Linked DNA regions of Caenorhabditis elegans. The protein of the gene in region 1 purifies or fractionates together with the protein of each later gene. This does not show direct contact. Each region holds a gene or a part of one and is shown in the gene's direction. Other genes may lie near its edges. The genes, in order: eef-1G, snrp-200, rpl-15 and eftu-2.

The links.
Region 2: the proteins of eef-1G (region 1) and snrp-200 fractionate together in Caenorhabditis elegans (co-fractionation; one large-scale study listed by BioGRID). This does not show direct contact.
Region 3: the proteins of eef-1G (region 1) and rpl-15 fractionate together in Caenorhabditis elegans (co-fractionation; one large-scale study listed by BioGRID). This does not show direct contact.
Region 4: the proteins of eef-1G (region 1) and eftu-2 fractionate together in Caenorhabditis elegans (co-fractionation; one large-scale study listed by BioGRID). This does not show direct contact.

What each region holds. Positions count from the first base shown.
Region 1 is NC_003283.11:10,962,861-10,970,209, forward strand, and holds eef-1G (putative elongation factor 1-gamma), read left to right. Parts: upstream 1-2,858; 5' UTR 2,859-2,964; coding exon 2,965-2,973; intron 2,974-3,114; coding exon 3,115-3,237; coding exon of another isoform or gene 3,238-3,259; intron 3,260-3,304; coding exon 3,305-3,625; intron 3,626-3,669; coding exon 3,670-3,802; intron 3,803-3,837; exon of another isoform or gene 3,838-4,055; intron 4,056-4,128; coding exon 4,129-4,604; intron 4,605-4,629; exon of another isoform or gene 4,630-4,756; intron 4,757-4,795; coding exon 4,796-4,930; 3' UTR 4,931-5,062; downstream 5,063-7,349. Other genes in the region: ctf-4 (WDHD1/CFT4 second beta-propeller domain-containing protein), read right to left, coding at 1-962, 1,007-1,320, 1,365-1,548, 1,594-1,705, 1,754-1,987, 2,038-2,549, 2,596-2,679; dbd-16 (DB domain-containing protein), read right to left, coding at 5,111-5,284, 5,325-5,564, 6,589-6,720, 7,088-7,171, 7,220-7,291. UniProt on the Caenorhabditis elegans protein: Probably plays a role in anchoring the complex to other cellular components.
Region 2 is NC_003280.10:12,732,911-12,740,475, reverse strand, and holds the start of snrp-200 (U5 small nuclear ribonucleoprotein 200 kDa helicase), read left to right. Parts: upstream 1-3,565; 5' UTR 3,566-3,600; coding exon 3,601-4,039; intron 4,040-4,088; coding exon 4,089-4,911; intron 4,912-5,029; coding exon 5,030-6,167; intron 6,168-6,225; coding exon 6,226-6,633; intron 6,634-6,695; coding exon 6,696-7,565. Other genes in the region: pisy-1 (CDP-diacylglycerol--inositol 3-phosphatidyltransferase), read left to right, coding at 2,150-2,283, 2,536-2,637, 2,713-2,972, 3,025-3,191. UniProt on the Caenorhabditis elegans protein: Catalyzes the ATP-dependent unwinding of U4/U6 RNA duplices, an essential step in the assembly of a catalytically active spliceosome. Plays a role in pre-mRNA splicing.
Region 3 is NC_003282.8:651,220-657,040, reverse strand, and holds rpl-15 (Large ribosomal subunit protein eL15), read left to right. Parts: upstream 1-2,464; 5' UTR 2,465-2,469; coding exon 2,470-2,641; intron 2,642-2,679; exon of another isoform or gene 2,680-2,812; intron 2,813-2,838; coding exon 2,839-2,975; intron 2,976-3,010; exon of another isoform or gene 3,011-3,139; intron 3,140-3,197; coding exon 3,198-3,503; 3' UTR 3,504-3,561; downstream 3,562-5,821. Other genes in the region: K11H12.8 (Growth hormone-inducible transmembrane protein), read right to left, coding at 314-419, 1,094-1,344, 1,398-1,461, 1,510-1,644; Putative bolA-like protein K11H12.1, read left to right, coding at 3,639-3,704, 3,751-3,867, 4,651-4,794; K11H12.9 (Protein kinase domain-containing protein), read right to left, coding at 5,249-5,310, 5,360-5,521, 5,579-5,719.
Region 4 is NC_003281.10:6,006,200-6,014,612, forward strand, and holds eftu-2 (Tr-type G domain-containing protein), read left to right. Parts: upstream 1-3,360; 5' UTR 3,361-3,380; coding exon 3,381-4,008; intron 4,009-4,054; coding exon 4,055-4,429; intron 4,430-4,476; coding exon 4,477-5,530; intron 5,531-5,583; coding exon 5,584-6,154; intron 6,155-6,229; coding exon 6,230-6,526; 3' UTR 6,527-6,641; downstream 6,642-8,413. Other genes in the region: gcna-1 (Germ cell nuclear acidic-1 protein), read right to left, coding at 355-676, 932-1,381, 1,769-2,048, 2,097-2,247, 2,296-2,559, 2,606-2,678, 2,726-2,784; npp-10 (Nuclear pore complex protein Nup98), read right to left, coding at 7,574-7,733, 7,784-8,239, 8,287-8,413.

The sequences.
Region 1 (7,349 bases):
TCTTCAACATGACTGTCACCATTACGTTCCAGTATTGCATCAGCTAACGATAGCTCTTTGAGGAACATTTCATGTTCCATTTCAGTTCGATGGCTTTCAGGTTGACAGAATGGTACTTTGAATTCTACAGTAGTCGGTGCATTGATTCCATTTACAAGGGGAGATCGGGATCCGCGACAATAGATGTATCGAAATTCTTTCACTGTGAGACCAATCGGGAAAATTGCGTCCGAAGGTGCTCTCAGAGCAGAAGAGCCTTGGAAAATAGGAATCCACAGACCTGGAGCGGATAGAACATGTACAGTGTATGCTGAATCCATCACGGCAAGTTTTCCTTGATTTGAATAAGCGATCCAGTCTAATTGCTCTCCAGTCTCAATAGGCACATCAATTCGGGAAACTGCTCCAGTTGAACCATGATGTCTGTTTTCTCGATACCATGATTTTGGATTTAAAGTATATTCTACAACTTCGAATCTCCATTGAGGTGTCTTTTTCTGTTCATAAAATTCCGATCCACACACCGAAGCGATTGCAAGTCGGTCTTCAAAGCAAGCAGCTGTGAGAATTGGTGCGAAATGTGTGAATATTTGTCGTTGAATTCCTCCAATAGTGAAAACTCGAATGTTTCGTTTTTTCGTGAGCACAACGACTTGAGTATTTGAGCAAAGCACATCAATACACCCGTCTCCACGAGGAAGAACCATCGACCACCGCTGACTGTCGAATGCTTGAATTGGAATTACATGTAGAAGACTAGTTCCTTTCTTTTCTGTTTTAGCAGGTTCATCAGTTTCAAGATCTTCAATGTCGTCGTTTGCTTTGTCAAGTTCTTTCTCTTTTTTCCGGCTCTCAACACTTGCCAGTGCAACAACCTTCAACGAAATATCCGCGAGTTCGTAGTTGATTTCAAAGTTGTCAATATGAATATCACCGTGGATGCTTTTATTGTGAAACTCGATCTGAAAAAAAAACGCTTGTTGTGAAGCAAGCTTATACAACTTACATCTATCGTTGAAACTTTATTTGCCTCGTTAACGTAGCTGCGAATAATTCCGAATCGATTATACTTCAGAAACCTTTGTGTTGCGTCGAGATCCATTGGAGAGCTGTTAGATACAAATCGTTCAGGAATAAGAACTTTTCGGGGAGCAGGTGGATCAGAATAGACTTGCGGGAGAGGATCATTCAAATTTCTGTCCGAGCTCATCGGTCGCATTTCCTCAGGTTCACCGAGTTTAAAACCGAATTCTTCAAGCCCTCCAAGATCTTGGTTCCCATAATTGAATTGTCGTTTGATAGCTCCAAGATCGGAAGACACTAAAATTAAAACATCAAGAGAAATTATATTTACAATCCCTCACTTCGGGTATCTTCATCTTCTTCAATGGCTTCTTCATTGAATAAACTATCTTTTTTGAGTGAAGTTCTATTCAAAAGGATTGAGTCGTCATCATCACTATCAACTGCAACATCTTCAGTTTTGTTTGAAACAGGCTTCTCGTTAGATGAATCATCTTTGAAGACATTAAACAAACAGATTCCTCTCTAAAATATTGTTACTTGAAAGTGCTCGAAAAGGGAAAAACTCACATTTGAATCAGCGACAATCAATTTTTTTGGGGAGAATGGAGAAAAAACAATAGAAGTGATGATAGTGATACCAGGTGCATTTCTCACGAATTTTTCACAACACACAATATCTCTGGAAAAAATGTATTATTTATCAGTTCACACATTTACCTAAATTTACAATTCATCACTATTCCAAACAGCAATTTGATTATCCATGGTTGAGGAGGCAAGATACTTCCCACACGGCGAAAGCGCAGTAACCGAAAAATCCACAGAAGCATGATCTTTCAAACGGTATACACCAGATTCTTCCCACCCATTTCGACGGTACGATTTCACACATCCTTTTGAAGGAACAAACAGCCATTGACCATCCTTTGACCATGAGAGTTGAATACGAGGTCGTGAAACACTGAAAAACAGGACATTGTTTAAAACCGAAGTATAACATGAAACACTAACTCAATTGTTTCAAATCTTGGGAAAACCTTGGTCAGTGTGTGTTTAATCGAGAATGAATCAATGTCTATAATAGTCACATTGCCATCCACAGTAGAAACGGCCACAAATTCATTTTTTGGATCCAGTTTGACACAAAGAACTTCAGCTTCAAGACTTCTCGTTTTCAGCTCTGCATCTAAATCTTTCATATTCGTGCATTTAACCGCATAATCGCTAGATCCTCCAATAACATTTTCCCTGTTTGCGTCGACCGTTGTGACATCCATTTGGAATTCAAGAGGATCAATAATATCTCCTGCTTCGAAATTGCCCTTTTTCGCCCGTCCCACCATTTGCTGCTCGGATCCAACAATGAAATCCACCTTGCGGTAACCAAAACAGATGTTTTCTCCATACCAAGCAATAGATGATGTTGTCGCATCGGGAATCTCGATTATTTCAGGTTTTTCATCTTGCAGCAACACGTTCTTATTGATCTTGAGTACATTTCGTTCAGCATCACAAACGTAAATCTGAAAAAAACAGGTAAATATGTTTATAAATCGTTTTAAATCCTACATTTTCAGTATCTTCTCCTGAAGCATCAATGCAGATAGTTTGAAGGCCGATATTCTCCAAATTTTTAACGTTAGTAAAGCTCATCTGAAAACAATGGAATTACGAGTGAAATTATTTATTTTCATCAAAAATAAATAAAATGCGAGCAAATTTTAAACCTGATTCTTGGCGCCGAAATGCGGTAAAAAAGTGTAATGCAACCATGGACCAGTGAACTGCGTAGAACCCCTATGTTTTGCGTACTGGCATTCTGCCAGGGGCACATACGCAGACTTTTCAGTGTATTTTTCCTCTGAAGAACACCACTCTTTTCAAGCGCCTCTTCTTTGAGCGTCGCTTCACTAGATTCTCCGACTCGTTGGTGACATCATGACCGGAGTAAGTTTATAAAATTAATTTCATTAAATTTGCAGTGCTGTTAAGAATAGTTAACGTGATTTCCGTTCGTTGCATTGAAAAATGATTAGGCCAAACCTTGAAATGACGAAATTTAACCAATTATTGATTTTTATTTTGCAGAAACTGTATGGAAACAAGGACAACTTCAGAACCCAAAAGGTTTTGATTGCTGCCAAGCTCGCCAACAAGACTGTCACCCTCGCCGGAGATGCTGCTCCAGCTGACAAGTTCCCACTTGGAGTTGTACGTTTTAATTTATTTAGATGTCAGTATTTGACGATCTGTGAACTATCAATGTGCAGAATTTCAGACCCCAGCATTTGAAGGAGATGCTCTTCTCTTCGGAGCTGAGTCGATCGGACTTCACCTGACTGGAACCTCAGCTAACGCCGAGACTGTCCAATGGCTTCAATTCGCAGAAGGTTATCTTCTTCCAGCTGTTCTCGGATACGTTCTTCCATCTGTGTCTGCAGCCAACTTTGACAAGAAGACTGTTGAACAATACAAGAATGAACTCAACGGACAACTCCAAGTACTCGATCGTGTTCTTGTTAAAAAGACCTACTTGGTTGGAGAACGTCTTTCTCTTGCCGACGTTTCCGTTGCTCTTGATCTTCTCCCAGCTTTCCAAGTACACTATGACCCAGATTATATGTATACACTCCTAATTTTCAGTATGTTCTTGATGCCAACGCTAGAAAGTCCATCGTCAACGTCACCCGTTGGTTCAGAACCGTTGTTAACCAGCCAGCTGTTAAGGAGGTTCTTGGAGAAGTTTCCCTTGCCTCATCGGTTGCTCAATTCAACCGTAAGTTTCTTTTTTGTTAGTGTGAATTTGTTTTGTTCCACTGCGAAGTCAGCAGACTAGTCAATCGATTAGTAGGCGTTACAGTGGTGGAATATCAAGATTTATGTACACCGTCTTTGCTTGAAACAGTTTTTGTTTTTGCTTTGTTCGGAACGTTTTTCATGGGACTGAGAGTTGGAAATTTAGCACTGGTCGTTTACAGGGTTGTCCTGCAGTCAATTCTAAGTTACCTTAGTTTATGTCCCACACATTTAAAAAGAAATCTAATTTTATAAAAAAACTTCTGATTTTGTATTCCCAGTTTAAATTTTATTCTTATTTTACAGAAGCCAAGTTCACTGAGCTCAGCGCTAAAGTCGCCAAGTCTGCTCCAAAGGCCGAGAAGCCAAAGAAAGAGGCCAAGCCAGCTGCTGCGGCTGCCCAGCCAGAGGACGATGAACCAAAGGAGGAGAAGAGCAAGGATCCATTCCAAGATATGCCAAAGGGAACATTCGTTCTTGACAATTTCAAGAGATCTTATTCCAACGAAGACACCGCTACCAAGGCTATCCCACACTTCTGGGAGAACTTCGATGCTGACAACTGGTCCATCTGGAAGTGCGAGTACAAATACCCAGAAGATCTCACTCTCGCCTTCATGAGCTGTAACCTTATCAATGGAATGTACCAAAGACTGGAGAAGTTGAAGAAGAATGCTTTCGCCTCCATGATTCTTTTCGGAACCGACAACAATTCGACCATCTCAGGAATCTGGGTGTGGAAGGGTGACAAGCTCGCCTTCGAACTCAGCCCAGACTGGCAGGTAGGACCATTTCCTCGATTTTGAATGTCGAAGAGTAGTCATTTGTATACGTGATACACTTATACAGAGTTACACTTTTCGTATATAAGTGCTTCTTCTCGTTGGAGTTGTTTATTTAATGAGCAATTACCTCTAAACTGAAAGCAACAATTTTATGAATTCTCGATAGTTTTCACAATAATATATTTCAGGTTGATTACGAATCGTACACCTGGACAAAGCTTGACGCCAAGTCCGATGCCACCAAGAAGGAAGTCAACGAGTATCTTATGTGGGAGGGAGACTTCGGAGGAAAGAAGTTCAACCAAGGAAAGATTTTCAAGTAAACTGGAGTTTCCATACAACCCGGTGTATTTGCCATTTAATCCTGTTGTTTACTCTGAGTCGGAAAGAATAAATTGTTTTCTATTGTTTATAAAGGACCCGGTATCACTTCAATAAATTATATCTTCTTCAAGTTGAGATTGAATTTATTCGTCTATAAGTGTTCCTAAATAATTTTAGATTTAAAAATTAGCTCCTAAGCTTGTTTCTTCGTTTTCGGTCGTCGTATAGTCCTCGATGTGTCCTTCGAAATATTCTTGATTTGCGTGTTCCAAAAAGCAAGATTTGATGTCGTTGAAATATTGTACACATTGCAAATGGTTGATTGAGAGGCTATTGACATCACTATCTTGACTCTGTAAAAATCATTGCGTGTCAGTAAAATGTCTCTCAAACCTGATCGCAGAAAGAGTGACAGTGTATTGGAACTAATGATTTGGAGCAGCATTCCGTGTGGTTTGTTCCTCGTGCCGCACAAAAATGAATCTTTTGAATTGCAGTCACTGGGCACACTGATTGTTGAAGAAACACTGCACTGACTTCTTCTGATGAGTACGTAGAATATGAGCATAAATCTGTGCAAGATGATTCAACTTCGAGAAGTGAGCAGCAGGTGGCAAAGTGCTCATCCGGTGTCTGTTATTTAGATATTATTGAAATTAAAATTTCCAGGAACTTTTTTCATAAGTTAACTTTTCCATGATTATTAGGTAGACACGTAAAGGTCACGTGGAGTCAGAAAGTCCCATTTCGCTTTGATCTTCAAGAAATGCGGGAGAAGAGACGCAGACTTTTCAACCGATTTTGCATGGTTAAGTGTGTGCTGACGTCACATTTTTCTGGGAGAAAAAATCCCGCATGTTTTGTAGATCAAACCGCAATGAGACAGCCTGACACCACGTGAAAGGTGAGAATCCTCGCCGTTTGTTACGCGTATTGGTCTCGCCACGAGGAAAACGAATTACTGTAACTCCTTTCAATCGATTGACTAATTTTTTTAAGTAAATTTTTACAATAAATAAGTTTCTCCTAAACAAAATTGTGCAATATCGTTCAATAAATCGAGCCGAGCTACAGTAACTCGTTGTCCGCGTGTCGAGACCTATGCGCGTAAGATATGGAGGTTTCTAATCTTCAGACGTCTGTGTGATATCAATATCGCGGACGAACTGTACACGTAAAAACGTAAACACGTAAAAAACAAGTAACATGATTTTACGGGAACACAAAATTCTGGGAATGCGTATTGCGCAACATATTTGATGCACAAAATATCTCGTAGCGAAAACTACAGTAATTATTTAAAAGACTACTGTAGAGCTTGTGTTGATTTACGGGCTCGATGTTCAAAATGATTTTTTTCGTATGTATATCGTATATTGACAGCGATTTTCAACTTTCCTTCGTTTCTTCGTATGATTTTCTAATTTTTTGCTAAATTTTAATGTTCAATCAATAAATACCTAAATGATTTTTCGTCATTTTGAAAACGGAGCCCGTAAATCGACACAAGCGCTACAGTAGTCTTTTAAATAATTACTGTAACTTTCGCTACGAGATATTTTACGCGTCAAATATGTTGCGCAATACGCATTCTCAGAATTTATGTGTTTCCATAATACTGTCAAACTTTTTTTTTGAAAATACATGGTATACATACAGAAATCGGCTTCAAATCGGGAGGCCTTGATGATTCATCTTTAAATGTTTTTGTTCCAGCCGCTGTTCGGGCAACGCATCCACCTCTCATACACATAAAACCAATACCACACGGGCATCCGATTGGTTGAATCTGAAATTTTAATTATATGTTTTTGTCACTTACATGCTGCTGAAACGAAGAAGTGATCAGGTTTTGTTTGTTTTTTCAACCTTTACCTTTTTTTTGTTGCCAAAAAGTTTCATTATATATTTCTTTTATCTTTGTGCAGTGTGTTATTTAAAACACAATAAACTTCAATTTTCAAGCATAGTGTAAAGTTTGTTCAAAGTTGCATCATATTGTATAAGTTATGACAATCAATCGCTGCGAGACTCAGAAACCCGGTGATCTCTCACTTCTTTTCGCAGGTTTTGGTAATTTGCCAAATTAAAAAATTGCGGCTTTACATCTGTATTCATGTAACTTTGAATCAAATTTAAAACACATTTCGTCTTACTATTGGTGTTTGTAGACATAATCCAAAAAAGCAACTCGACCCACAACCGCCTCCAAATCCGCCTAAGCATCCCAAAGATATACACTGAAAGTAAGACTTTTGGAAGATTGATAAGAAATTTAATAGGTATACCTGACTAGAAAACATAACAAAAATACAGAGAAATGCAAAAATGTGTAAATTAATGTAGGATAATGTAGACATAACTATTACCCTCAAACGAAGAATGAATGAAGAAGGTATGTTTGAAGAAAGTTTAGTT
Region 2 (7,565 bases), on another chromosome or scaffold:
AAGTTTGCAGATGCCCTATACAGCTCAAGTGGAGGGGGTTTAATAGCAGTTGGGCGCATTAAAGTACTCCTACAAAAACATAAAAACATCTAACCAGTAAACCCAACTCAATATCTTGTCAAAAACCAAAAATTGTGCATACCTGTAGTGCTACGTCACATACCAAAATCAGACGAATACTATTTTTTAGATATTGGTAATGATATAGAGAACATGGAAGTTTGATTGAAAACATTTGAATCTTGTTGATTTTTTTGTAACTGGAAAACAATAGTTCAAAATGCCGAAATGCCGAATGCCGAATGCCGGCATAATGCCGGTTTTTAGAGCGCGGCATATGCCGAAATGCCGATTTCAAAATTCAAGGCATATGCCGAAAATGCCGTTATGCCGAAAAGAAAAATGGACGGCAAACTGCATTATAAACATTTTTATCGATTTTTTCAATATTAAACAGATATTTAAAAAGCCAAAAAATGAGGGAAAATGTCCCGTTCCCGTGAAAATTTCAAAAACGGGACAACGGGAATTCCCGTTCTCGTGAAAACACCCCAAAAACGGGACAACGGGACAAACGGGACACGGGAATTGACACCCTTGCTGCACAGCGCGGACTGCAGACTTTTCAAATAATAGTTAATATAAAACTTGATTGTACAGATTATTAATAAATTCGATGTTTATAATTTTTTTTTAAACAACAGTGGATATGGGGGAAATTACTGAAACTAAAAGTACTGATTTTTAAAACGTTCAACTGGTTTTTCACAGATTTTTCTCTTTTTTTTTTGTGATATTTCTGCACATTGGGCAAATATGAGTATTTTAAATGGGTGTTAATTAATTAATCAAATATAATTTAAGTTAAACAAAAAAAACAAAAAACTATGCGCGTAAAACATAACGCATTGAGTTCATACTGCGTATTTTGTGAACTACAGTAGCCAGGAAAATTTGACCTAAATTAATAATGGCTTGTGAGCGCGCGCAAAAAAATTAGGCGCCAATTTTTGATTTTTTTTTTCGAGAATTATCTTGTTTTTGTCATCATTTTTGAATAATTTTCCGTTCGACGTGCCGCTTTTTGGGATTTTTTGTTGAAATTTTCACCAATTTTAACGCTTTTTCAGCCATTTTGTCGTTGATCGCCCCAGTTTCTTGTCTATTTTCAATTTGCTGTATTCGTTCCTTGCGTTCATATTTAGGCCATTTAGCTCATCTGGAGCCACCTAATGAGTTTAAAACTTCAAATTTTTGATTTTTCCGGGCGGAATTCCGGTAATTATTCACTTCGTAAAAGTTTTCTCGTTAAATTTGTCGAAATTTTAATTGAAATTTTTTTTTTCTTCGATTTTTCATGATTTGCTATCACATTTCTGCTTTTTATCAACCAATTTCAGCTTGTTTTGAGTTAATTCCTCACGAAATAGATTAATTTTTTAAAGGCGCATGCATTTTCCCACTGCCGATATCCCGTTGCGCACGAGTGTTTGCCTCTCGTGTACTTCTCTCGGACAATTGGCGGGACTTTCGAAATTCATTTTTTGAGGTTTTTCTATTGGATTTTTAGTGTTTTCCGGCAGTTTGTTGAATAATTTAGCTCAAAAATGTTCTAAATTGTGAGATTTATTCGTTTTTAAAGTATAAATTGTGTGACAAGGACCATTGCATCGCTGGGAAGAGCAATAGTTAACTATTTCGCTGGAATTCTAGTAATCGGACGATTCTGTGGACTTATTGAGAGGTTTTTGATATTTTCTTATTGAAGCGTGTTCCTATGCTGAATATTTAGCTGATTTTGCTGCAAAAACAAGTTTTTCGGCCATATGCAAACTGATTCTCGAAAAAAAATCCCAGTTCTCTTAATTTTTCCCATTAATTCTCCTCATTTACGCTTCCAACTCCTACATTTTTGCCTTAAAAGCTTTCCATCTTATTAGCTAGCCAAATGAAGCGAGAATAAACAATTTCTAGCTCTTCTCTCATCTCCAACCATCTGCGTCTCCGCTCTCTTCCCATTTTCGAAAATGTCTTGCTTTGGAGCAGATGGACCGTTGTCAAGGCATTTTTTATCGCTTTTTTTCGTTTTCCCGTGTTTTCAATCGATTTCTCGTTCTCATTTATTCAAAAACAATATTTTCAGCTTAAAATGGAACCGACAGCCGCCGAGAACAACAACAATGTGTGGCTATTCTACCCGAATCTCATCGGTTATGGACGCATAGTACTCGCCATTTTGGCCATGTACTACATGTCGTCAGCGCCATGGTGTGCAATGTTCTGGTGAGTTTTGGCGAGCTGGAAATCGATTTTTGCATCAAAAATTAGCTAATATCCATGTTTACTACTACTTTTCATCTCTTTTTCACTGAAATGTCGAGTATTTTTGCGATGCATGGTAAAGAAATCAAGGTGACCAGGTTTCTTTTCAATTTTCCCCCATAATTGAAGAGTTACAATGCCATCTGACAAGGTTTTTCAGAAGAAAAGTCCTGAAAATTAGATTTTCGTAATTAAAATTTCTCATAATTTCAGCTATGCACTCAGCGCCGGACTCGACGCGTTTGACGGATGGGCGGCACGGACCTACAATCAATCGAGCCGATTTGGAGCAATGCTCGATCAGCTCACCGATCGGTACGTTAAAATTTCTCAAATATGCTGGAAAATTCGAGAAAAAAATTGGATTCGGTAAAATTCTCATATTTTCAGCTGCGCCCTGCTGGCCTTGGTGATGGCGCTCTGCAAGTTCTACCCGGATCACTTGTTCCTGCTTCAACTGTCGGCCGTAATCGACATCGCATCTCACTGGCTTCACCTTCACGCCACTGATCTCTCCGGTGCCACGAGCCACAAGCAGTCTTCGAATTGGCTTCTGAACCTCTACTACACGGATCGATTGTTCCTCGGATTCATGTGCGGCGGAAATGAGGCTTTCTACATTTTGCTCTACATTCGCGCGTTCTGGGCTGGTAAATATTTGATTTATTTTTGCTATAATTTATTAATTCCTCTAATTTTCAGGACCACTGATCTTCAACTTCCACTTCATGTCGATCTTCCCACTCATCGCCTTCCCGATTGCCTTCGTCAAGTCCGCCATCTCCGTCGTCCATCTGTACACTGCCGCCGAGATGGTCGTTGCTCACGATGTGAAGCTCCGTGTTGAGGCTGCTCAGAAGGCCCAATGATCTCCGGATCTCCCCGAAGTCTCCAAGATTCTCCTCTGATTCCCCATGAGCTTTTGTATACACATTCCCCACTACTTAATTCACGAGCTTTACGCTTAGCTTTAGTCCTTTAGTGCTCTCGTCTCAGGAAAATGTTTCCGATTTCCATTTAATTCCAAATTTGAACATATTTCTCTGTAATTTTTTTCCCCGTAATTTTTTTTTTCGCAAATTCCCGATGTACTTACTCTGTAAAATAATATTTATTTTGTTTATTTTATTTTCCATTTATTATTCAATTCGAATTGGTTTTCAGCCAGCCGATTTTATCTATTTTCTCTCAATTTTTATTTCTTGTTTTGATTTTTTTAACCTTAATCCCACGATTTTTGCAGGATATTCGACTATCCCGAGTTGACTACAAACTACAATGGCCGACGAGCTAGCCCGAATCCAGCAGTATGAGTACCGGCAGAACTCCAACTTGGTTCTGTCGGTCGACTACAATCTGACGGATCGGCGTGGCAGAGAGGAGCCGACTGGCGAGGTGCTGCCGATCACGGATAAGGAGATGCGCAAAATGAAGATGGGTGACCGGGCGATCAAGGGAAAAGCGCCGGTGCAGGATCAGAAGAAGAAGAGAAAGAAGAAGGACGACGAGAAAGCACAACAGTTCGGCCGGAATGTCCTTGTCGACAATAATGAGCTCATGGGAGCCTACAAGCCCAGAACCCAGGAGACGAAGCAGACTTATGAAGTGATTTTGTCTTTCATTTTGGACGCACTTGGCGATGTTCCACGCGAGGTTCTGTGCGGAGCCGCTGACGAGGTGCTTCTCACGCTGAAAAACGACAAATTCCGAGATAAAGGTGAGGTGAAAATCGAAGATTTTCAATAAAATTTATATTTTTTTTTCAGAGAAGAAGAAAGAAGTGGAAGCTCTTCTGGGACCGCTCACCGACGATCGTATCGCAGTTCTCATCAACTTATCGAAGAAGATCAGCGATTTTTCGATCGAAGAGGAGAATAAGCCTGAAGGCGATGGAGACATCTACGAGAATGAGGGTGTAAATGTGCAGTTCGACTCGGATGAGGAAGAAGATGACGGTGGGATGGTTAATGAGATCAAAGGTGATAGTGAGGAGGAGAGTGAAGAGGAAGAAGGTGTGGATACAGATTACACGGCAACACTCAAAGGAGATGGTCATTTGACGGAAGATGAGCAAAAAGCACGAGGAATTCTTCATCCACGTGACATCGACGCTCATTGGATCCAAAGATCGCTCGCCAAGTACTTCAAAGATCCTCTGATCGCCCAACAGAAGCAAACGGAAGTCATCGGAATTCTCAAGAACGCCGCCGACGATCGTGACGCCGAGAATCAGCTTGTCCTGCTGTTAGGCTTCGATCAGTTCGAGTTCATCAAGTGCCTTCGCCAGAATCGTCTTATGATCCTCTACTGTACACTTTTGCGTCAGGCGAACGAGAAGGAGCGTCTCCAAATCGAAGATGATATGCGATCTCGTCCAGAGCTTCATCCGATTCTTGCACTTCTTCAGGAGACTGATGAGGGATCTGTTGTGCAGGTGGAAAAGTCGAAACGAGACGCGGAGAAGTCGAAGAAGGCCGCCACAGCAGCAAATGAAGCCATCAGTGCGGGACAGTGGCAGGCGGGCCGCAAGATGTTGGATCTAAACGATCTCACGTTCAGTCAAGGATCTCATTTGATGAGCAATAAAAGGTAAATACAATTTTATTTTAAAAGTACGATTTTCCATTAGAAAATTAAGGAAATTTGATTCATTATGCACTTTAAAAGTCCACATTCCCAAAAAACCCTAAAATTCTCAATTTTGCAGATGCGAGCTCCCCGACGGATCCTACCGCCGCCAGAAAAAGTCCTACGAAGAAATCCACGTACCAGCCCTCAAACCACGACCATTTGCTGAAGGAGAGAAGCTCGTCAGTGTCTCAGAGCTCCCGAAATGGGCCCAACCGGCTTTCGACGGCTACAAGTCGCTGAACAGGATCCAATCCCGACTCTGTGATTCAGCTCTTCGATCCAAAGAGCATCTCTTGCTCTGTGCTCCAACTGGAGCTGGAAAGACGAACGTGGCGCTGCTCACGATGCTCCAAGAAATCGGAAACCACTTGGCAGAGGATGGAAGTGTGAAGCTCGATGAGTTCAAGATTGTCTACATTGCTCCGATGAAGTCACTGGTTCAAGAGATGGTTGGAAGCTTCTCAAAACGTCTTGCTCCATTCGGAATCACTGTCGGCGAAATGACCGGAGATGCTCAAATGAGCAAAGAGCAGTTCATGGCGACACAAGTGATCGTTTGTACGCCGGAAAAGTATGATGTGGTGACGCGAAAAGGCGGAGAGAGAGCCTATAACCAGATGGTTCGGCTGTTGATCATTGATGAGATCCATCTGCTTCACGATGATCGTGGACCGGTGTTGGAGTCGATCGTCGTCAGAACGATTCGTCAAATGGAGCAGAATCACGATGAGTGCCGACTGGTCGGACTTTCAGCAACTCTTCCGAATTATCAAGATGTGGCGACGTTCTTGCGAGTGAAGCCTGAGCATTTGCACTTCTTTGATAACAGCTATCGTCCAGTTCCCCTCGAGCAACAATATATTGGAGTTACTGAGAAGAAGGCTTTGAAGAGGTTCCAGGCGATGAACGAAGTGGTGTACGACAAGATTATGGAGCACGCCGGAAAGAGCCAAGTCCTCGTTTTTGTGCATTCCCGAAAGGAAACTGCGAAAACCGCGAAAGCGATTCGTGACGCGTGCCTCGAGAAGGACACGCTGTCGGCGTTCATGCGTGAGGGCTCAGCGAGCACAGAAATCCTGAGAACCGAGGCCGAGCAGGCGAAGAATTTGGATTTGAAGGACCTCTTGCCGTATGGATTCGCTATTCATCACGCTGGAATGAACAGAGTTGATCGTACACTCGTCGAGGATTTGTTCGCTGATCGGCATATTCAGGTAGGGGAATCGAAAATTTCCCGAAAATATTTCAAATCTTCAAAATATTATTTTTCAGGTGCTCTTTTCGACTGCAACTCTCGCTTGGGGAGTCAATCTGCCGGCTCATACTGTAATCATCAAGGGAACTCAGATCTATAACCCGGAAAAAGGACGTTGGACAGAGCTCGGAGCACTCGACATCATGCAAATGCTCGGAAGAGCCGGACGTCCACAGTACGATGATCGCGGAGAGGGAATTCTCATCACAAATCACTCGGAGCTCCAGTATTATCTCTCGCTGATGAATCAACAGCTTCCTGTCGAGTCGCAGATGGTCTCACGGCTCACTGATATGCTCAACGCTGAGGTTGTGCTCGGCACTGTCAGTAGTGTGTCGGAGGCGACGAATTGGTTGGGTTACACTTTCCTTTTTGTGAGAATGTTGAAGAATCCGACGCTTTATGGAATTACACATGAGCAAGCGGTAGGTTAAGCTTGAAATTTTAGCATTTTTCATAGAAAACCCTAAAATTCTCCAATTTTCAGCGCGCCGATCCTCTTCTAGAACAACGTCGTGCCGATCTCATCCACACAGCTTGCGTGCTTCTGGACAAGGCCGGACTCATCAAATATGACAAGCGAAGCGGAATCATTCAGGCCACCGAGCTCGGGCGCATCGCTTCTCACTTCTACTGCACATACGAGTCGATGCAAACCTACAACAAGCTGCTGGTCGAGACGTGCTCGGATATCGATCTCTTCAGAATTTTCTCGATGAGCTCCGAATTCAAGTTGCTGTCGGTTCGCGATGAGGAGAAGCTGGAACTTCAGAAGATGGCAGAGCACGCGCCGATTCCGATCAAGGAGAACCTGGATGAAGCGTCGGCGAAGACGAATGTCCTTCTTCAAGCCTATATCTCACAGTTGAAGCTCGAAGGATTCGCGCTTCAGGCGGATATGGTCTTCGTGGCTCAGAGTGCCGGACGACTCTTCAGAGCTCTTTTCGAGATTGTGCTATGGAGAGGTTGGGCTGGGCTCGCTCAGAAGGTGCTCACTCTTTGCAAGATGGTTACACAACGGCAATGGGGATCGTTGAACCCGCTGCATCAGTTCAAGAAGATCCCGAGCGAGGTGGTTCGATCGATTGACAAGAAGAACTACTCGTTCGATAGACTGTATGACTTGGATCAACACCAGCTGGGAGATTTGATTAAGATGCCGAAGATGGGAAAGCCGCTCTTCAAGTTCATTCGCCAGTTTCCGAAGCTTGAGATGACTACTCTCATCCAGCCGATCACAAGAACCACCATGAGAATCGAGCTGACAATTACGCCAGACTTCAAGTGGGATGAGAAGGTGCACGGAAGCGCCGAAGGTTTCTGGATCTTCATTGAGGATACCGATGGCGAGAAGATC
Region 3 (5,821 bases), on another chromosome or scaffold:
TTTCCGTCTCGCAGCTATTGGAAATTGATTTTATTCGGTTTTTTCGGTCCTTTTTGCATATAAATATAGTTTTTCTTACAATATATTTGGTTGATTTAGGTACATTAAAAGCTAGCCGAGCCAAAACTTATGCAAAACAGTAGAATAATCCTACAACAGTAAATTTCCACCCGCTGCAACACGGAAAAGTTGACAAAATCAGAGATTTTAGCCAGAATTCGACCAATTTTTCATCGAAGTTCGGCCTTTTTAGTTTGTAAAAATCACAAAATTGATTTTTTTTTTCAAGTTCTCCGTTGAAAATCCGCCGTACCACAGTGAAGAGCCCAGGCGAGATGCTTGGCGACGGTGCTCTCGTAGTCAATTGATCTGGCGAGCATTCCCGAAGCGATCATTGCAGCCATTGTTCCGAAGAGTGACTGAAAAAATTGATTTTTATTAAATTTCCGATAATTTTTAAAGTTTTTATTGCTTTAAAATTTTTAAAAATGACCTCCAACCTTTTATGGAAGTTCAAATTGTTCGAAAAGTGGATAAAACTAGTTAAAATCATTAATTTTCCGGGTTTTTAATTGATATGCACACAAATTTGAACCTAAAAACCAGTAAAATCGCTGCAAAAACAACAGAATAAGAGATTATTACGACAAATTTCAATTTTTCGTTAAAAAATTGATTTTTTGGACCTGAAAATTCCATTTCTCAGTCATGAGTAGATAAAAATGCAAAAAATTTCTCGTTTTCCAAGCTTTTTATTAGCCAAAAATTGATTTTTTGGTCCTGAAACTCGCAATTTTCAGTCATGAGATGACGAAATTTCGAACTTTTTTTGCAATTTTCACTCAAAAATGCGGTTTTCTAACTGAATAAGCCCAAAAAAAAAAAACGGGAAAACGTTAAAATCAGGCATTTCCAGCGGCTTTGAAGCCTTTTTTAATCGATTTTTTGGTTAATTTTCAGTCGGTAAGCACACAAAAACCCGGGTTTTCTGACGAAATCGGGCATTTCCAGCGACTTCGAAGCCCATTTTCCGGGATTTTCAAGGGATTTCACAACGAATTTCGCTTTTCTTCGGGGATATTTCGTCCCTTACCATCATTCCTCCGCCAGCGGTCAATCTCATAATCGCCGCGCTTCTGGAAGCTGCAACTCCGCTGACAGCAGTTAAAGCGAGACTTCCAGCCAAATAAGCATACGTTGTGCTGATTCTTTCACGGACGTATGATGGCCAAATTGCGCTTTTTTGGAGAATACTCTGCTCTTTTGAGACGAGTCCGTAGTACATGAGAGCTCCAACTCCGAAGACGGATGCTCCAGCGAGAGCATAGGTTCCGTAGACGAATGCTGGAAATATATGTAGGCCTTTTTATAATTGAAAATTCCAGTAAAATCCTCACGTTTTCCAGTAGTTGGTCCCAAAAGTCGCTCCTTCAGCGTTGGTCCAGTGCGAACTCCGAATCCCTGAACTCTTTAAATCGTTTTCTCGTCAAAAATTATTGAAAAACTCACTTGATTTACTCGAGAACCGAATCCGGACTGCCCTCCTCCATAACGAGCTGATTTTGCGGCGGTGTTGGCGAAAAATCGGACTCCCGAGGTGAAAGTCGCCACTTTTGGAACGGTCATCGTGAGACGAGACAACATTTTCTGACTGAAATGATGAGAATACGACGAGAAAAGTGGAAATTGTGTTTGTTTGTGATGAAAACAACCGAGGTCACGTGGGAAAAAATGATGCAACGAGGAGTTATGAAATTTAGAAAGTTCTAGATGTTTTAGAATGTCTAGCGAAAATAACGTAGCCTAAAATAAGGGATAAACCATTTATTATAGCTTTATGCCGGATTTCCAAAGTTCTACAAATAAAAACCACATTTTAGGGAGAAAAATGACTTTTTTATTCGATAGAAACCGAATATTACTGATTTTATAGATATTTTTCGATTAAATATAATGTTTTATCAATTAAAAATACGAAAAAACCAGATAAAAACCTGAAAAAACCTGTAAAACAAGGAAAAACATATTAAAAATCACAAACAATTCGTGTCGATTTACGGCGGACGAGGCTTGGCACACGGCCAGCCGCCGGACTACGGTGTTTGCATTGTGGAGCGTGTTTCGAGTGTATGCGAAGTGTATGAGAGCGTCTTCTCATTTCACACACGAGTTTTGTTGGCCTAAACGATTTTTTTGGATTTTTCAGCAATTTTAGTGAAGTTTTCCTAGGTTTTTCATGAATTTTGTTAAATTAATTTAAAATTTTAATTTTTACTGGCAAAAAATCAGTAGTTTGTTATTTTTACGCAGAATTCCGCCCAAAATGTTGGGACTTTGATGAAATAGATTTTCTGTCAGCCAGAATTTTAAAAAACTATGTTCCATTCTTCGATTCACTTTTCTTTTTCAACAATTTTATTTATTCAACCCCTCAATCTCGTTATTCTAACCTTTTTTCTTTCAGAAAACATGGGTGCATACAAGTATATGCAGGAAATCTGGCGCAAGAAGCAGTCAGATGCTCTTCGCTACTTGCTCCGTATTCGTACCTGGCACTACAGACAGTTGAGCGCCGTCCACCGTGTCCCACGCCCAACCAGACCAGAGAAGGCTCGCCGTCTCGGATACCGTGCCAAGCAAGGTAAGATTGTAAAGATTTGAATAAAATTTTAAAAGCTACTTGCCACAATGTCTGGGCAAGGTGCCCTGCACCCGCTTGAGCAACCTAATCCATTGATGGCTATATAAAATTCATTGAGTAATCCCTGTTGAGTTATATAGAACTTTCCAGTTTCATATCATTGATACAATTTATTGAGATTAAATTTCATTTTTCAGGATTCGTTGTCTACCGCGTCCGTGTCCGCAGAGGAAACAGAAAGCGTCCAGTCTGCAAGGGACAAACCTACGGAAAGCCAAAGACCCATGGAGTTAACGAGCTCAAGAACGCCAAGTCTAAGCAAGCCGTTGCTGAGGTGATTACTACGAATTAAATGATTAGATGAAATTGTTGCCTCAGTGTCTGGGCAAAGCAGACTGTTTTTAATAGTACTGACTTAATCCACTGATGGCTATAGAAAAACATTGTGTAATCCCCGAACACCTTGTGGTGTATTGGATTCATGACATTGTGACAATTTAAACAAAATTTTCAGATATTAGCATTTACTTTTCAAAGTTAATTCGTTGTATTTCAGGGCCGCGCTGGACGTCGTCTTGGATCCCTCCGTGTTCTCAACTCCTACTGGGTTGCTGAGGACTCCACCTACAAGTTCTACGAGGTTGTCCTGATCGATCCATTCCACAAGGCTATCCGTCGTAACCCAGACACCCAATGGATCACCAAGCCAGTTCACAAGCACCGTGAGCAAAGAGGACTCACCTCTGCTGGACGCAAGTCTCGTGGACTCGGAAAGGGATGGCGTTTCTCTGCTACCCGCGGAGGATCCCAAGCCAAGAACTGGAAGAGAAAGAACACCAAAGTTTTCCACCGCAAGCGATAAATCTTGTTATTTTATTTTGTTTTGGGCTTGTTCCGAAAATGAAATGGTTGTTATCAAACCTAATTGTTTTATCTTTGTATTTTTCACATTAAAAAAGAAATAGTTTTTAAAATCACAGTCTTCATGAAAAGAGTAATGAGCACATTGAGCGAAGGCCCAGTAGCACGTCTTCTCAAGGAGAAGCTGTTCGCCGCGTTCCAGGTAAACTGATCTCTAAATATGTCGGAAGGAAACTGTTGAATTCTAGCCAAAACATCTCGAAGTGGAATGCGAGAGCCACCTGCACAACGTTCCAAAAGGAGCCGAGAAGCACTTCCGAGTGCAAGTTGTCAGTGATGAGTTCGAGGGGAAACGTGTCATCGAGGTTGGTGGAAAAAGATCGATACATGGATTAGTCGAACACATGGAAAAACTCGCTAAAGGCCGTGGAACGGCACTTTTTCATAGGCTTTACCAATTTTTCAGCTAAAACATTTGCTTTTTCAACATTATCGCCAATTTATTCCTTCTTAAAAACATGGATTTGTCGATTTCGTGGCTAAAAGTATGATATCTGGTCTCGACACGACAAGTTTTGTTAAATACAAACGGGTGTGCGCCTTTAAAGAGTACTGTAATTTCAAGGACTCGTTTCTGCGCAATTTTCATCGACTTTTCATAATTTTTCGATAAAAATTATTTATTTATTTAAAAAAACCCATAACAATAAAAACACATAAATTCGCGAGAAAAACTATGAAAAATCGATAAAAACTCGGTAGAAATAAAATTTTGAAGTTACTGTATTTTTTTAAAGACGCACTCTTTTTCCAATGTAACAGAAAATTTAGTTTCGAGGCCGCCGGATGATACCGCATTTTTGGAGCAAAAATCGCAAATTTTCGCTAAAATTGGCGAAAATAGTTCAAAAATTTGGAAGTTTCGTGTTTGCGGCCCCAATACCTAACGAGACCCAAATTATGGTTATTATAAGAACAAAAAATTCTGTTGACGTGCAAAATATCTCGTAGCGAAAACTACAGTAATTGTTTAAATGACCCCACTGTAGCTCTTGTGTCGATTTACGGGCACAATTTTTGAAACGAATTTCTATGGTTTTCACAAAATTTGGAAGCCCGTATTAACCCAAAAAAATGTTGATTTTCAGAGACATCGTCTTGTGAACACGTGTCTTGCCAAGGAGCTTGCCACGACTGTCCACGCGCTTCGAATCGACGCTATTCCAACCAGCAAGTGGGACGGACAGAAGCAAGAAGACAGTCCGACGTGCCGTGGTGGATTTGGAAAATAACATGATCATTTTTGAATTTTTTTTTCATGTCAAAGTATGAAAAATATATAGAAGAATAAAAAAGAAACAAGTATTTATTTATTTTTTTTTAATGAGAAATAAATCTTCAAAGTTATCGTTCTCAATCGGGAACCACAGACAAGAAACCGCATGGATGGGGGAATGAAACTCGAACTAGTGGGGGGAATATATCTCTTATAACACGGATTTCTGGCTTCCCTCATAAATTGAAATGGAAGAGTTTACCGAACTAGGCCATTTTGGCTCGGCCATATCTGGGGTAGATTTACGGCGCGCCGCGGCTCGATTTTAGTTGTAAAACTAAATGTATTTGTCCGTGTGGAGTACACGACTTTCCCACGCCTTGGCGGCGATTGTCAATGAAACACGGAAAATTCAATGAGGAAGACCAGAACCCGTGTTATAATAGAAAAAAAATAACAAAAAAAAATGTTCAGAGCATAATCTCTGACATGTTGAATGGATTGAATCGTTGAAGTTCTTCTCGAAGTTTGTCTGAAAAACTTTTATTGAAAATCGATAAAAATTTCAAAATTATTATTACCTAAAACTTCATCAGAAGTTTTCTGCCCAACTACAGTATGCTTTCGCTCGACAGTTTGGTGCTGTGGAGCGCGGAATGATTTGAAATACGGATGACGGAGCAAATCTCGAGCCGATTGACGTCCTTCAAGAAGTTGGAACAGTAGAGATCGGGCGTTGAAATCTGGAAACAATTGATTTTTTAAAAAATCTCCCAAAAATCTTCAAAATAGGTTCTTACCAAGAAGTCCCGAGTCACTGCTTCCCTCGAGCACAACTCTCCAGTCGATATCTTTGAGATTTCTGGACTTGGAGAACTTGAACATTTCCTCCTCGTTCATCAAGAAACGCGAAACAATGGCGCCGATTGAGAGTAGGTCATCTGGAATGACATTTTTAGTTGGCTCAGAACATAAAACTTTGTTAGAATAATGTTTTCTTTGCTCTTACAAGGAAGTTTTCCCGTAGATTTAAATTTCGGATG
Region 4 (8,413 bases), on another chromosome or scaffold:
CATCTGTTCTATTCTCTTAATTTCTCGCCCAAACTATGGCCAATTTTAAAAGTTAATTATTATTTTTCCTCCAATCTTAGCCTCTTTTTCAATCCCCCCCTGTCAAGTATGAGCTATTTATAATATTTTTCGAAAAATAGGAGGTGAAATAAATATATATTTATTGAGTATTAATCAAATTAAATCTCTTGGAGATGAATTTGATTTGAAGAAAGAACACAAAGAAATTCTGAAAAAATCAAATACTTTGATCACAATCGGGAATCTTTCGATAAGATCCAGAAATCTGACGTAGATTAATTCAAACTAAATTTTGATAAATGGCACATGGCACGGATAAATGATAGCAATAATTTATAATTGTTTGAGCTCCTTGAATTCTTTTAGTAATTTCCCCATCACATCCGAATGTTTTAGTCCTTGTGCAGTGTATTTCCAATAGTGTTCTTCAGAATATTCCTTGAAGCCTTCTGGATGCTCACTGACAATACGACGAGGAGCTGGTGGAGATGGCTTTGAGGAATTGGAAAGAATTGGACCAACCGGCTTGGCTTTAGGATCTTCAATACGGATTCGAGTATTCGTTCGGCGGCAATAACGGTAGAGAATGAATCTGCCAAAACATCTTCCGCACGCTTTTCGTGAGGTGTCGAGAGATTTCGATTGACGCTTTATTCTGGAGAAAAATTATATTTTTATGTATTGGAAATTGGAAATTTATCAGATTGACGGTTCTGGTGTTTTGCTTCCCTATAAGACTCTCCTATAAATTCTAGTCGATAAGACTGTGACTATTAATAAATTTTTGTGACAGTTCAAAATCCCGAAAAATAAGGTAAATTTTAAATTATATTATTTTTTGGACGTATTATTTTCGAAAATTATTTTTTAATGAATTATCAGATATATCTAGATAAATTAAAAAACTTACTCTACATCACATCCATCTTTCTCACAAACATAGAAGAACTTTGCCTCAATCTCATAACTATGACATCTTTCAATAAATGGAAGTGACTTGAACACCGAAGAGCATCGAGCTCCCCATCTCTTCCATCCTGGGCCATGACCTTCTTTATGAAGCCTGTCGACCACCCATGTTGCTGCATGACACAGTTCATGGATCAGTGTATCTCGTACTCGTTCAGCAGTTGTACATACTACTGGTGACATTTCGACAGTGCTGTTTCCATTTGAATGATTTCTGCATTGGCCAGCTGATTTTCGAAGGCGTGCGTTCCATATGACTTTCAGCTTTTCCGATGGAATTGCTGAAAAGATTCGGCGAACCAGGATGTCTTGAAGACGTGTGAGAAGGGATTCGCGATGCTTTTTATAACGTAGAGATGTTTCCTTGATATACACCTTGGCATCTTCGTGTCTGGAAAAATATTTTTTAAGCAACTAATCTCTATATTATATTTTTTATAAAATTAATTTTTATTCTGCAAAACTTGTAGGAAAATTATCGAGAGCAAGGGTGTCCTAAAAATTTGTTCGATTTTTTTTTCAGAAAAATCTAAAATCTAAAAATCTTATATCGTTAAAGGAAATTTTTTAGCTTTTCCGGAAAACTGAAATGGGAAAAAATGTTTAGAAAACAAAAAATTCATTTTTAATCGATTTAAGTTGGTTAATCTTGATGATAAAAAAGCATGATTTTTTTTCAAAAAAAAAGGAAATTCGCCACAATTTGACGTTATTTAGAGAAATTGAAATATTGGAAAATGAGCATTTTCGATTTTCGATTTCTCAAAAATTATCTTACATTGGTCCTGAGAACTTCTCACTCAATGACAGAAGAAACCATTCTTCTTCGTCAGTTGGTCGCTTCTTCTGTTTTCTATCAGAATAGCTAATCTTCGCTTCAACTTCTGGACTTGATTCTCGATATTCTTCATCGTCGACATCTTCTTCCTCTTCTTCAGATTCTTCTTCTGAACTTTCTTCGCTTATATAATCATCATCAACTACAAAATCTTTTTTAACTGGAATTTTTCTCTCTGGTTTAGCTGGCTCCGTTGGCTTTTCTCGGAGAGTTTTGAGATCTAAAAAAATTAAAATTAAAACGGAATATTTTTTGGAGCATCGTTTACAGTTTTCAAAGTTTCCATCATCTTCTGAATCGGATGAAATAACTATTTTCTTTGTTCGTTGTTTCTTTTCTTCTTTTTCCTTCGAAGGTTTTCCACACGGAGGAACATTTTCCTTGTCATCATTCTCATAATCTGACAATGACTCCACTTTCTGAACTTTTGAATTTTAAAATATTCAGATTTCAAATATGAACATTACCAATGCTTTTTTGACTTCTTTTGGTTTCTGACGTGGTTTCTGGTTGGAATCAAACATTTCCGGATATAACTGTCGAAGCATATCTCTCTCATCTTCTTTTTCAATTTTCTGAAGTAATCTATCACCAGGAGTCATTGGAGCTTCTCTTGCAATGACTCTTGCAGGCGTTCTATAGGCTGGTGTTGGAGAGCTAACTGACATCATGGATATATTATTTTCTAGAATTGAAATGCTTTCGTCGAGATTTGATATTGGCTCATCTTTCTGAAATTTTAGAATTAGCTCATCATATATGAATTTTACTGCTTGCAATTTCTTTTAAGTTGGATTTGCTATCATTATTAGTTGATCTTCGACTGCTGAAGCTGGAACTCCATGCTGTTCTGCAAAAAATGTTCCTACAATCTTAAAATCCTTCCAAAAAACTTACTCGTACGATGACGCTGAAGCATTACTTTTGTTATGAAGATCTCGAAATGGTGTAGGCATTGAGGAATACAGAAGATTTGCAGAATACGAGAAAAATAATTTTAATCTTTGAAATTTTTGATTGGCGGCAAATTAAGCGCCGTTGGTGCAATTGCGTATTTGTTGCCAGAAATGACGAGCAAAACTTTGAACAAGGTTTATTTGGAGCGCGACTTGCTCGACTTGCTCGAGCAAGTCGTTTTTTTTGAGTAGAAAAATGATATTTTAATTATTTTTCAATTTTTCGTAAAAACATTTGCAAGAATTGACCGATTTTCCAAGAATAATTGAGCTGTTCTGGAAATGTGGATTACTGTAGAAAGTACCACAACTGCGCTCCACTGCAAACGTCGGGGAGCGATTTTCGAAAACGAATTCTTAAGCTGAAAAAATATCTTAAACCACATTTTAGCATATTTCCAAGCGCAAAATGTGTGTTCATAGTTACTTCTTGATTTGTATTTTTTGCTTTTGAATCTTGGCTCTTATATTTGCTCTATATTCTCATTGGGACTCTTTGTTTTAGGCAAATACTCACTTCTCTGTATATTTCTTCTTTTTTACTTTGAAAGTCTTTCATAACCGAATTAATTATTCAGAACTGAACGTCTCGAGCGATGGATTCGGATCTCTACGATGAGTTTGGTAACTATATCGGTCCAGAGCTAGACTCTGACGATGATGCCGGAGATATTGATGACAATGGTGATGATGAAGATCGTAGCGATGTGGATGAGGATGATGAACCAGACAGAATGGAAGAAGATGACGCAGAAGAAATTCCCCAGAATCAAGTTGTTCTTCATGAAGATAAAAAGTACTATGCTACAGCTCTCGAAGTATACGGGGAAGGTGTAGAAACCTTGGTCCAAGAGGAAGACGCTCAGCCACTCACTGAACCAATTGTCAAACCAGTATCCAAGAAGAAGTTTCAAGCCGCTGAGCGTTTTCTCCCGGAAACTGTCTACAAGAAAGAATATTTAGCTGATTTAATGGACTGCCCTCATATCATGAGAAATGTTGCAATCGCTGGTCATCTTCATCACGGAAAGACGACTTTCTTGGATTGTCTTATGGAACAAACTCATCCAGAGTTCTACAGAGCTGAAGACGCAGATGCTCGATTTACTGATATCTTGTTCATTGAGAAGCAGAGAGGATGCTCGATTAAATCTCAGCCAGTGAGCATTGTGGCTCAGGATAGTCGAAGCAAAAGCTATTTGCTCAATATAATTGATACTCCAGGTACCTAAACTATAGTGGTTCATTCGTACAAAATATATTATTTTAGGTCACGTGAACTTTTCGGACGAAATGACTGCTTCATACCGTCTTGCTGATGGAGTTGTTGTGATGGTTGATGCTCATGAAGGTGTTATGATGAACACTGAACGAGCAATTCGCCACGCGATTCAAGAGAGGCTTGCAGTAACATTGTGCATTTCGAAGATCGACCGCTTGCTTCTTGAGTTGAAGCTTCCACCAGCAGATGCTTACTTCAAACTCCGTCTTATCATTGATCAAGTCAATAATATATTGAGCACTTTTGCCGAAGAAGACGTTCCAGTACTCTCTCCACTTAACGGCAACGTTATTTTTTCATCGGGACGATACAATGTCTGCTTTTCTCTATTGTCTTTTTCGAATATCTATGCGAAACAACATGGTAAGAAGCTTACGAAATTAATGTCTTGCACGATTTTTATTTTCCAGGTGACTCCTTCAACTCAAAGGAGTTTGCTCGCCGTCTCTGGGGAGATATTTACTTCGAGAAGAAAACTCGCAAATTCGTAAAGAAGTCGCCGTCCCATGATGCTCCACGTACATTTGTGCAGTTCATTCTCGAGCCAATGTACAAGATCTTTTCGCAAGTCGTCGGAGATGTCGATACTTGCCTTCCTGATGTGATGGCTGAGTTGGGAATTCGTTTGTCAAAAGAAGAACAGAAAATGAATGTCCGTCCATTGATTGCTCTCATCTGTAAACGCTTCTTTGGAGATTTCAGTGCATTTGTTGATTTGGTGGTTCAAAATATCAAATCACCACTTGAAAATGCGAAAACTAAAATCGAGCAGACATATCTTGGACCAGCTGATTCCCAATTGGCTCAAGAAATGCAGAAATGTAATGCTGAAGGACCATTGATGGTTCATACAACAAAGAATTATCCCGTAGATGATGCAACTCAGTTCCATGTATTTGGACGTGTTATGAGCGGAACATTGGAAGCAAATACAGACGTCCGTGTACTTGGAGAGAACTACAGTATTCAAGATGAAGAAGATTGCCGAAGAATGACAGTTGGAAGACTATTTGTGCGTGTTGCCAGTTATCAGATTGAAGTTTCTCGTGTTCCTGCAGGTTGCTGGGTACTTATTGAAGGAATTGATCAGCCAATTGTTAAAACTGCAACCATTGCTGAGTTGGGATACGAGGAAGATGTCTACATTTTCCGTCCTCTCAAATTCAACACTCGCAGTTGCGTGAAACTTGCCGTAGAGCCGATTAATCCATCCGAACTCCCGAAAATGTTGGATGGCTTGAGAAAAGTCAACAAGTCATATCCGTTGCTGACGACTAGAGTTGAAGAATCCGGAGAGCACGTGTTGCTCGGAACTGGAGAATTTTATATGGACTGTGTGATGCACGACATGCGAAAGGTGTTCTCAGAGATTGATATCAAAGTTGCTGATCCAGTTGTCACATTCAACGAGACTGTCATCGAAACGAGTACGCTGAAATGTTTTGCAGAGACTCCCAACAAAAAGTGGGTTTTCATTCAATTTTTTCAAAACAATAATTTTTAATCAATTTTTTCAGAAATAAAATCACAATGATGGCTGAACCTCTAGAAAAACAGTTGGATGAGGACATCGAAAATGAAGTTGTTCAAATCGGATGGAATAGACGGCGTCTTGGAGAGTTCTTCCAGACCAAGTACAACTGGGATCTTTTGGCAGCTCGTTCAATTTGGGCATTTGGCCCTGATACTACAGGACCCAACATTCTTCTAGATGACACATTGCCATCGGAAGTTGACAAACACTTGCTATCAACTGTCAGAGAATCTCTTGTTCAAGGATTCCAATGGGCAACCAGAGAAGGCCCATTGTGTGAGGAACCAATTCGTCAAGTGAAGTTCAAACTTCTCGATGCCGCAATCGCCACAGAACCACTTTATCGAGGTGGAGGTCAGATGATCCCAACTGCACGCCGATGTGCCTATTCTGCATTCCTTATGGCCACGCCAAGATTAATGGAGCCATACTATACAGTGGAAGTTGTTGCACCAGCTGATTGTGTAGCTGCTGTATATACAGTGTTAGCTAAACGACGTGGTCACGTCACCACTGATGCACCAATGCCAGGATCACCTATGTACACTATCAGCGTGAGTTTAAATATAATGTTAAAAGAGAACACACATTAAAATAGTTTTATGATATTCTAAAATTATGATTTTCAGGCGTACATTCCAGTAATGGACTCGTTCGGATTCGAAACTGATCTTCGAATTCACACACAGGGACAAGCATTCTGTATGTCTGCTTTCCATCATTGGCAACTCGTACCAGGAGATCCACTCGATAAATCCATTGTTATCAAGACTCTCGACGTCCAGCCAACTCCACATCTCGCCAGAGAGTTCATGATCAAGACCAGAAGACGCAAGGGTTTGTCTGAAGATGTCTCCGTTAACAAGTTCTTCGATGATCCGATGCTTCTCGAACTTGCAAAGCAGCAAGATTATACTGGATTCTAAATTGCGATTTCCTAACTTATTTTCTCATTGTTTCACACTTTTTATCTTTCAGTGTTCTTTCCCGTTTCATTGAGTTGTTTGATCACAATAGTAAAATGAAAATTCTTGTTTATCTATCTATCAAATGATATTCAGAGCAGGGACCAAAATTGAATTCTCTTAGTTTCGTCAAACAAGCTGAATGTCCGTTGAAGGTATTACTCTTGGACAACTTTTTTGAAAAAAAAAAAACTGAAGATCAACATAAGCCTACGCTTAATTTTAAGTCTAAGCATAAGCTATAACCGAATTGGAGGCCCCACGAAAAGGGGAGCAGAACGAAAAGGGGATCTGCAAAAAGGGGATCTGCGAAAAGGGGAGCAACGAAAAGGGGAGCTGGCACTGTGCCAAACGCACAAAACGCAATTTTTCTCACGCAGCGCACGTTGATTTTTGAAATTTTCTTCTAGAAGATACGCTTAACAACACGCGACGCGTAACATCGGAGCATCGTTGTATCGTTTTCTTCGAGGAAAATAGCGTTTGGCACAGTGCCAGATCCCCTTTTCGTTGCTCCCCTTTTCGTATCTCCCCTTTTCGCAGATCCCCTTTTTGCAGATCCCCTTTTCGTTCTGCTCCCCTTTTCGTGGGGCCTCCCGAATTGCTCTACCTCGTAAAACGAAGCGAACCACTCCAATTAAGAAACGATCATTCCTACTGGCTAAATCCGCCAGACTGAATTATTCAAGAAAACTTTCCATTTATTTAGCAACTTTTATCAAGATGTACTAGATTAACATCATCGCGTGGTCGGAAATTGAATTTTAAATTAAATTCGAGTACTCAATTTATCGTTTTGCTGATTTCTAAATTTCTGTACTAGTTTTCTCATGTGAATAGAACACAACAGTAATAACATCCTACAAAAAGTTCATATTCATAGTAATAAAAAGACGATTCGGGAAATGATGATATACGAGGAAGACAGACGGAGAGGGCAGGAAAATGTAAATAAAAAAAATAAAATTAGAATCAGGTGAAAAATGAATAAATTAAAAAGTGGCTAGTCTAGTCAAATTCAATTGTGAATCTTTCGATTCCCCAAGACGAACGATCACGGAAGATCTTAAACATTTGCCGATGTCCGAGAAGCTTTGTCCACTCTGGAAGTGTATTCTTATCAGCACGGTACTCGAACAAAACACGTCCAATTGTTTGAAGAGAGAGCCTGAAATTATATAAATAGTTTTAAAAAAAACTTATGTCCCAATAGCTTACTTTTGAAGACTGTTCTTGCTGATTGTAGGAGCATGTAGACGAGTTTCCAGACTTTCAAGCACGTCCTGTAAGAGTTCTTCTTCCGCATCATTTTCGATCAAATTGATCAATCGGCAATAATCAGTGTAGACCATTCCAGTCGCACCCCACTCGGGAATCTGATTTTCGAAAGGACGAACCATCGCGCATGCTGCTTTGAGAGCGTCATGATCTCCAGCTACAACTGCAGTTGGTGCAATATCATCCACAAATAAGCGACAAATTTCCAGATAGTTCTTTGCAGCCACAGCCAATTCGAAAAGTTGGGTAGAATCATCGACTGACTTTGCAATTGAGAATTGAGCATCAGCAATCCATTCCGAAGGAATATCGAACTGTTCGGAAATAGAATCAAACATATCATTGTCGGTGAAACGAGCAATACGGTCGAGGAGGGAACGAACTGCTGTTGATCTTCTGGATAAATATATTTATAAATTGAAAGATTCTAAAATTCAACTCACTCTTCATCATCATCAATGTGCTGCAAAACAAACAATGCATATTTTGAGAGACTTGATGCTTCCAATTGAGATGAATAGTTTCTGTGAAGTCTTGTTTCCGAAGTCTTTGACATTGTACGGTATCCAA